2 linked regions of the Sus scrofa genome follow. The protein of the gene in region 1 binds, or shares a complex with, the protein of each later gene. Links are inferred from orthologs where the notes say so. Each region holds a gene or a part of one and is shown on either strand. Other genes may lie near its edges. The genes, in order: NEMF and TCF25.

Region 1 (3,812 bases):
TTCATATCTTGCTTTAGAAAGTCTGTGCTTTGGTACTGAAGTGTTGAGGTATTGTTATTACAGGAGAACCGATTCCCCCTCGGACCTTGACTGAAGCTGGCACAATGGCACTTTGCTACAGTGCTGCTTGGGATGCACGAGTTATCACTAGTGCTTGGTGGGTGTACCATCATCAGGTAATAAGGGCTGTGGTCCTTTTTCTTAATTTAAGAGAGACTGTATTCCAGATTTTGAGGATATAGAATTGAACAAGGCAGACAAAGCACTTTGATGGAGTTGACAGTTTGGTGGTGAAGAAAAATACATACATAATGGCTGGTAACAAGTGCTATAAAGTTTTTTTTAAGCAGAGTAAGGGGATAGAGGAGTGAATAGGGGCTACCATTTGAATATAGTGTCAAGAAAGACCTTCCTGAGAAGGTAAGATTTGAGCAGAGACCTAAATGGAGAGAGTGATCCATGCAGTTATATGGGATAAACTGTTCCAGTTACAACTGTCATACTGACCTAAAAGGTCTTTCTCCTGTTCCTCTCTGTTAGAATTTTCTGAATTCTCGTTGGCCCTTCCTATAAAGTAGGTATATCCAGTGGGCTTTTCTATATACTTTGTTTTAGTAATTGTCCATTAATCTTTTTTTGATGATATTTCATTCCATATGTGACTTCACATTGCTATTCATTTCACATTTTCAAGAATTATAATTGATAATATACTTTTAAAAGGTCTTAAAAGCTATACAGCAAGATAAAAAGAATTCGATACCATTATCCTCTCTTAGATTGTTTTGTTTTATATGTGTTTATTATTTTCTGTTTTGCTGTGATATTTTGTTCTTAGGAAATAAATACCACTTCTGGGATTATATTTTCTGCCCCAGTACTATTATAAAAGTGGCTTTAATTCTTCTATGAATAAGTTTTTTTAGTGTACTTTTTTTTTTTGGTCTTTTTTAGAGCTGAACCTGTGGCATATGGAAGTACCCAGACTAGGGGTTGAACTGGAGCTGCAGTTGCTGGCCTACACCACAGCCACAGCAACACAGGATCTGAGCTGCATCTTCACCCTCCCCCACAGCTCAGAGCAATGCTGGATCTTTAACCCACTGAACAGGGTCAGCGATCGAACCCGAGTGAGTCCTCATGGATACCAGTCGGGTTCGTTACCACTGAGCCACAATGGAAACTCCTTTAGTGTACTTTTAATCCATCATATAACTATTACTGGTAAGGATATTCTCAGATTTGGGTGTTTCACAGATGTATAACATTTTTTTAATTTGTGGAACTACATTGCTCACTTCCTATATTGCCAAATTAAAAGGATTTTAATAAATATAGTAAATATAGGGGTTTTTTTGTTTTTTTTTTTTGTTTTTTTTTTTTTTGGTTTTATCTTTTTGCCATTTCTTGGGCCACTCCCGCAGCATATGGAGGTTCCCAGGCTAGGGATCAAATCGGAGCTGTAGCTGCCAGCCTACGCCAGAGCCACAGCAACGCAGGATCTGAGCTGCGTCTGCGACCTACACCACAGCTCATGGCAACGCCGGATCGATAACCCACTGAGCAAGGGCAGGGATTGAACCTGCAACCTCATGGTTCCTAGTCGGATTCGTTAACTACTGCGCCACGACGGGAACTCTGTAAATATAGTTTTATATCTTAATGTTAAACTTCCTAAACTATCCTTATTTTTCTTATTATGTCTTTCACTAAACGAAATGTGGATCAGTTGTGGCTGTAGTCCATGGCATTTGAAAATGATTGACTAGTGTATCCTTCTTTTCTTTGTTACTTCCAAAGATATCTGCCATTGAGGAGAGATCTATCCCTTCAGTGTCAATAATTTTTGCTAAATTATAAACCTTTCAGGACATAGTGCTCTTTACTTCAGTATGACTTTACTTTCTTAAATGAAAATTTAAAAACTGTATTTAAGAGTATAATGTATTATTGTGTTCCTCAGGTGTCTAAAACAGCACCTACTGGAGAATATTTGACAACAGGAAGCTTCATGATAAGAGGTAATGACTGGCCACTAGATTATGGAGACAGGTGTGAGGATCATCTCAGAAGAGAAACTGATTATTTTGATTTCATATGTGAAATGTGTTATTAAATATGGAACATTTTGTCTTGGTGTGGCAGATTTAGCATTTGACATGTCATCTCCCCATATATTTTTATTAATGACAGTGTGTTTTCACATAGTTTAAATTTATAGGTAAGAAAGTATAGCATGATCTTTTTTTCTAAAACAGGTTATTTAGGGTCTGACTAACCTAGAAGATGAGAGCAAGCATTCATATTTCTTCTTAATTCCTATTCTTATACATAATGCCAACTTCTGTATATGGGAAATGTTCTTTCATGACAGAGAAAAGAGAATAAATGTCACATTGTACCAGATATTTTACAAGCATAATGGAAAAAATAGATTTTTAAAACATTTATGTATGTTCTCTTTTGTAGGAAAAAAGAATTTCCTTCCTCCTTCATATCTAATGATGGGGTTTAGCTTCCTTTTTAAGGTACTCTTCCGTTTCTTTGTTTTTTGTTTTTTTTTTTTCTGATTTTCATTAGTCTTACCTAAAGTTCCACCAATGAAAATACCTATTTTCATAGGTAGATGAGTCTTGTGTTTGGAGACATCGGGGTGAACGAAAAGTCAGAGTGCAGGATGAAGACATGGACACCTTGCTGGGTTGCACAAGTGAACTCATATCTGAAGAAATGGAACAACTAGGTAGCTTACAGATTTTAATGAAGTAACTTATAGTGTTTTCTTTTGTCTAGTTTTGCTTCTAAATTTATCTCTTTTGGGGTAATTAAATTTTTAAAAAATCAACTTGCCATCAGCTTTATTGAATTTTTGATTTAGAAATGTTATCCTAGTGAATTATAAAGTGTCAATTGGATCTGTAACTAATACTTGAATACATGCTGATATTGTGAAACTTCAGTATTAAATGGATAATACATTAATGTGTTTAACAGAGATACCCAGAGACTTGGGAATGTGTGAATGAGCACATTTTGGTTTAGGATCCATAAGTGTTACAAAGATGAGTCTATAACAAGTACAATTTCTCACGAAAATTTAGCTTGATTCAATAGTATATTTGCTTCAAGTAGAGACCATCTATGGTTGCTAGAATAAATTAATCTACCTCCCTAGAGGAACTAGGGAATGCATGCCCTCTAAAAATTGTTTTTACATCTCCTAGGGTCATTCCTTTTTAGGGATAATATTTCATTTTTTTCACTTACAGCTACTATTGTACATGCTTTTTTTTTTCTAATTTTCACCATGTTCCTAACATATATACATGTGTATATACATGTATGTGTGTGTGTGTGTGTGTGTGTGTGTGTGTGTGTGTATTTATTTATTTATTTATTTTTGCCTTTTAGGGCCACACCTGTGGCACATGTAAGTTCCTAGTCTAAGGGTCGAATTGGAGCTGTAGCTGCCGGCTTATGCAACAGCAGTGTGGGACCTGAGCCATGTCTAACCTACACCGTAGCAGATGGCCACACTGGATCCTTAACCCCCTGAACAAGGCCAGGGATAGAACCTGCATCCTCATGCTTATGAGTTGGATTTGCTTCTGCTGTACCACAATGGGAACTCCCTATTTATGTTACTTTTTATTGAATTCTCACAACCATCCTTGTCAGATGGTTGGTGGCATCTTATTATATAGATGAGGTAACTAGACCGTATTATCACTCCTAGATAATGTTCCTTTTGTAAAAGTGTGAACCATTGCTTTACTTGCTTTATCTCATTTCAGTTCTCATGTGCAAATTAT
Region 2 (4,328 bases), on another chromosome or scaffold:
ATGGTTCCTAGTCGGATTCGCTAACCACTGCGCCACGACGGGAACTCCTATTTATTTTTTTTATAACAAATTTTATTTATTTATTTTTCCACGATACAGCATGGGGACCAAGTTACACATATATGTATACATGCTTTTTCCGTCCATTGTTGTGCTGCGCCCTCCCCTAATTTAGATCATGAGAGACAGAGGCCACTTACCCTGCAAGTGTTTACAACCAAACTTCCCTTGCTGAGGACCAGGCCTTGGAAAGTACAGGGAGAGACAGTGTTCAGAGCTGCCTGTTCGGGTAAGGTACTGCTCGAAGCCTCATGGCCACCGACCCACAGGAGCCAGGCAGGAGCAGTTCTGCGTGGGATGGCCGGCCCACGTTCCCAGCACAGGCGAGGCAACATGCCTGCATAAGCTGTTCGCTCCGGGGGCCAGCGATGACACAAGATCTAGTGGACATGGCTGGCCCTGCATGCTCGGAATTCTCTGGAGGGCAGTGCCCCGGAGGTCCTGTCTGAGCTGAGCCCAACTCTCAGTAGCTGGGTTGGAGGGTGGGGCAGGGGGTTGAGGCAGCAGCCTGTGCCAGTCAGTGCGATCCCAGGGCCTAGTACTTGCAGGTAACCCAACCCGCCTTGCTTCTCGGTCTCCGTCGGCAGACTTCCTCATCTGAACTCCGGAGCCACAGACACAAATGCAGATCCAGATTCTACCTGAGCCAGTTCCTTATTCTCTTAAGTCTTTATCTGTAAAAGGGGCAGGGTGGGGAGTGATATCTACCTTCCAGGAGGAGGTAAGAACTCAGTCTAGGGCCTGGCTTGGGCGCCACACTGAGTCAACCCCAGCTCAGTGCCAATTACCCACGCCAAACCACCTTAGCCTGGCACTTGCACCTCTGCAGTGCAGGGCTTCTCAAATCTGCCTGCGCATTCTACTCTCCTGAAGATAAAGAGAAAATCAATGCCAGGCCCCACCTCGGAATTTCTAGGGATTGGGCCCCTGATCATCACCGTTAGGACACACCGTAAGCGTGGCAAGCCTCCACCTCAGACCAAGGATCCCCACACCCAGTATACAGGAGAATCACCTGGGACGCAAGCAAAAAGCAGACTCCCAGGGCAGACCCGGGGTCTCCCGGGGAGGGGGTGACCCGATCCGCTGCTTGGGAAGCTCCTGCGTTTCGGAGGGCCGACTTCTCACAAGCACAGCATCGTCTGGCCGCCGGCCGTGGAGGCGACCTACCGGGACTGGGTCCCCCGGGCTTCCCGCTGCAGCCCGAGCCTCCCCACCTCGACAGCACCACCTCGCCGCCTAGAGCAGAGGCCTGAGGATCTGAGCCTGCGCGCCCCCGGTTCGCCCCGCCCGGTCCCGATGTGCGTCGCGGGCGCGCCTCCAGAACAGGAAACAGAGGCCGGCGGACCCGCCCATTCTCGCGAGAACTCGTCCGGAAGCGTACGCACCTTCTTTGATGATACCGACGACTGGGCGGGACTTCGGGAGAGCGGCACCGCGCAGACGCGACGCGCCAGCCTCGCGCCACCGCGCTGTAAGTGCGCAGGCGCGCCGGCCGCTCTCTTTTCTGCTCTTCCTTCTGCCGGTCTCCAGACGTCAGCGGCTGTTGGGTCCTATGTCGCGCCGGGCCCTCCGGAGGCTGAGGGGGGAACAGCGCGGCCAGGAGCCCCTTGGGCCCGGCGCCCTGCAGTTTGTCCTCCATGATGACGATGATGCAGAAGAAGAATGCCCACAGCAGGGGCCAGGTGGCCGGCGTGCCCGGGGCACAGGGAAGGAGGGCGTCCGCGTCAACAACCGGTTCGAGCTGGTGAGCAGCAGGGCTACCGGGGCTGGGGGCAGCGGGTGGGGGCGGCCTGCGAGGTGGCGGGTCCGTGACGTCACGGGGCGGGGCGGCGGGGTCGGAGCTGCAGTGGGGAGGGCGGGGCCAAGGGGGTGGGCGGTGGCCTGAGCCCACGGGGCGGTGCTACGTTGGGTTTGGGCTGCGGTGAGGGGCGGGGCCATAGCGTCCATGGGCGGGGTTAGTGGGTCCCCGCTGCGGCGGAGTGGGTGTGGCCGGCTCTGGGGGCGGGACCGCAGCGCGGTGGGCGGGGTCTCGGGGCTCCAACCTGGATTTCAGGGTTAAGTGCCTCCGAAGCCGAGTCATCGCAGGGCCTTCACGAACGTTCTCATCTTTTCCACACACCCCAGGGCTCATTGTCTGGCTCTGGGTCATCTCTGCGTCCCCCCCGGCAGGTGTCTGGCCCAGAGAAACGACACAGTAGATGGGAATTAAGTAACAACAACCGGGGTCTCCTTGTCGCCGGCCTCATTCTCTACTTTTGCACGTCTGTGCGGAGCGCCTGCTGCCCTGACCGCCCTGTGCAGCAGGGATGCCTGTTCCGCTGGCCTTATGTCCCCAGCACCTCGTGCCCACCCACGTAGGGACTCCACAGCTGTTGCTGCGTGTTTGAAGGCGTAGCAGTAGTTTTGAAGACCATAGAGCAACCAGCCATGCTTGTCAGCTCCTTCTTGGTCTGGCTACTGCTCCCAACTTTACCGAAAGTTGCCAAGTTACGGGCCCCTCCTGAGACAGTGGGGCGCGCGGGCTGCCAGTCTGGGCGTTGGGTGTAGAAATTGCTGCTCCTGTTCCTCTTGGGTAAGAGCCTGACCTTGTCGTTCTGGTGAAGGGGGGACTCCGTTGTTCTTCGGGTCCTCCTGACTCTTCGTTCGCCTCCTCGGAGCCTTCTTGCTTGCCCGTTTCTTGTCACCTCTTTCTTTTTAACTTTTGTATCATGGGAAGTTTCAGATATACACAGAGACGTACGGGTAACCCTCAGAGGTGCCCCTCAGCCTCCACAGTTGTTTTCCCAGCGCTTCCATCCCATCCTGCATCCTTAAGTTTTCTGTCGACTTTGGTTTTTTTTTTTTTTAATTAATTAATTTATTTATTTATTTTATTTATTTTTTTGCCCGTTCCGGGGCTGCTCCCACAGCATATGGAGGTTCCCAGGTTAGGGGTCCAGTCGGAGCTGTAGCCGCCGGCCTATACCACAGCCACGCAGGATCTGAGCCGCGTCTGCGACCTACACCACAGCTCACGGCAACACCGGATCCTTAACCTACTGAGCAAGGCCAGGGATTGAACCCGCAACCTCATGGTTCCTAGTCGGATTCATTAACCACTGCGCCATGACAGGAACTCCTTCTGTTGCTGTTCTGACCTCTGAAAGCACCGCCAGCTCCCTTCTTCCTTCCATCCCTCTGTGCACAGGGTGTGATGGGCTCGTGCTCCAGTCGGCTGTGTCCTGGACCTCCTGTCAGGGCTGTTTTCCCCTTATTCCAGATCCTCCAGGTTTTGTGTCAAATAGCCGTCACTGGAGGACATTTACGCGCGCAGGCTCTGCTGCTCTGTCTTGTTCGTCAGTCGGGCAGGTCATTGTCCCCATTGTACAAGCGCGACAGCAAGTGCCACCTGCAGTGACACCTGCTGCTCGATGGGAAGTGGTGCTCTTACCCACACCACGCTCCTTGTCTCCGAAGCAAAGTTCATGTTCCTGCTCAAGAAGCAAGGATGGTGAACGGACAGGGGCACAGAAGTCTGAGATAAATGAGTCAGAAGAACAGCCAGGTGCTTGGGTGTGAGGAAGAGGAGGGGTGGTCGTGGGGCTGCCGGAGACCAGTCAGCTCAGCGCGTCGCTCCTGCCTTCGGCTGCGGCCTCCGTGTCTCCAGCACAGGCCTCCTTCCCCATCGCCGACTCACACCCATCTCCTCGGTGCGTCTAAACTCGCACCGCCCTCTCCACCTCCTCCTCCTTCCCCGTCTGTGCAGGCGTCTCCACTCTTTCTGTCGCCACAGCCAGCAGCCCAGAGGGCACCCCACTCTTTCTCCCTCCCTCACACCCCACCTGCACACCCTTGTCAGGTCCTGGGTGGCTTCAGGCTGCGGTACCTGCAGTGTGACCGTTGCCGCTGGCGGGGTCGTGCTCACCAGTCCTGCTCATCCTCTCGTTCCTCTGCAACTGTCCGGACGCAGCGGCCGCGGGGACCCTGCGACGCGCACGTCTGCTCTCAGCCCTCCTCCCTCAGGACCCCCGGCGGTGTGGGGGCCAGGTTGGCCCACTCATCGCTCTCCAGTCTTGTTTGCTCTGCTCCAGCCACGCTGGGCACCCCCATGCTGTCCCCTCTCCCTGGACCAGCTCTGTTCGTGGTCGCTCCTGTCCTCGGGTCTCAGGCACCCTTCCTGCTGATTTGAAATGAGTCACACGCCCCCTCCCAGTTCGTCTGGTCCTTCTTCTCCCTCGTGTGCCCTGGCGCGCACCGTCAGATGACCTGCGTGCTCCCGGAGCTCG

Evidence for each region.
Region 2: NEMF (region 1) and TCF25 share a complex: the UniProt entries of both Homo sapiens proteins name them as parts of the ribosome quality control complex. The link is inferred for Sus scrofa from reciprocal best matches to the Homo sapiens genes NEMF and TCF25.

The regions. Positions count from the first base shown.
Region 1 is NC_010443.5:179,636,722-179,640,533, reverse strand, and holds part of NEMF (nuclear export mediator factor NEMF), read left to right. Parts: intron 1-63; coding exon 64-176; intron 177-1,963; coding exon 1,964-2,021; intron 2,022-2,469; coding exon 2,470-2,528; intron 2,529-2,622; coding exon 2,623-2,743; intron 2,744-3,812. UniProt on the Homo sapiens protein: Key component of the ribosome quality control complex (RQC), a ribosome-associated complex that mediates the extraction of incompletely synthesized nascent chains from stalled ribosomes as well as their ubiquitin-mediated proteasomal degradation.
Region 2 is NC_010448.4:205,993-210,320, reverse strand, and holds the start of TCF25 (transcription factor 25), read left to right. Parts: upstream 1-1,481; 5' UTR 1,482-1,615; coding exon 1,616-1,807; intron 1,808-4,328. UniProt on the Homo sapiens protein: Component of the ribosome quality control complex (RQC), a ribosome-associated complex that mediates ubiquitination and extraction of incompletely synthesized nascent chains for proteasomal degradation.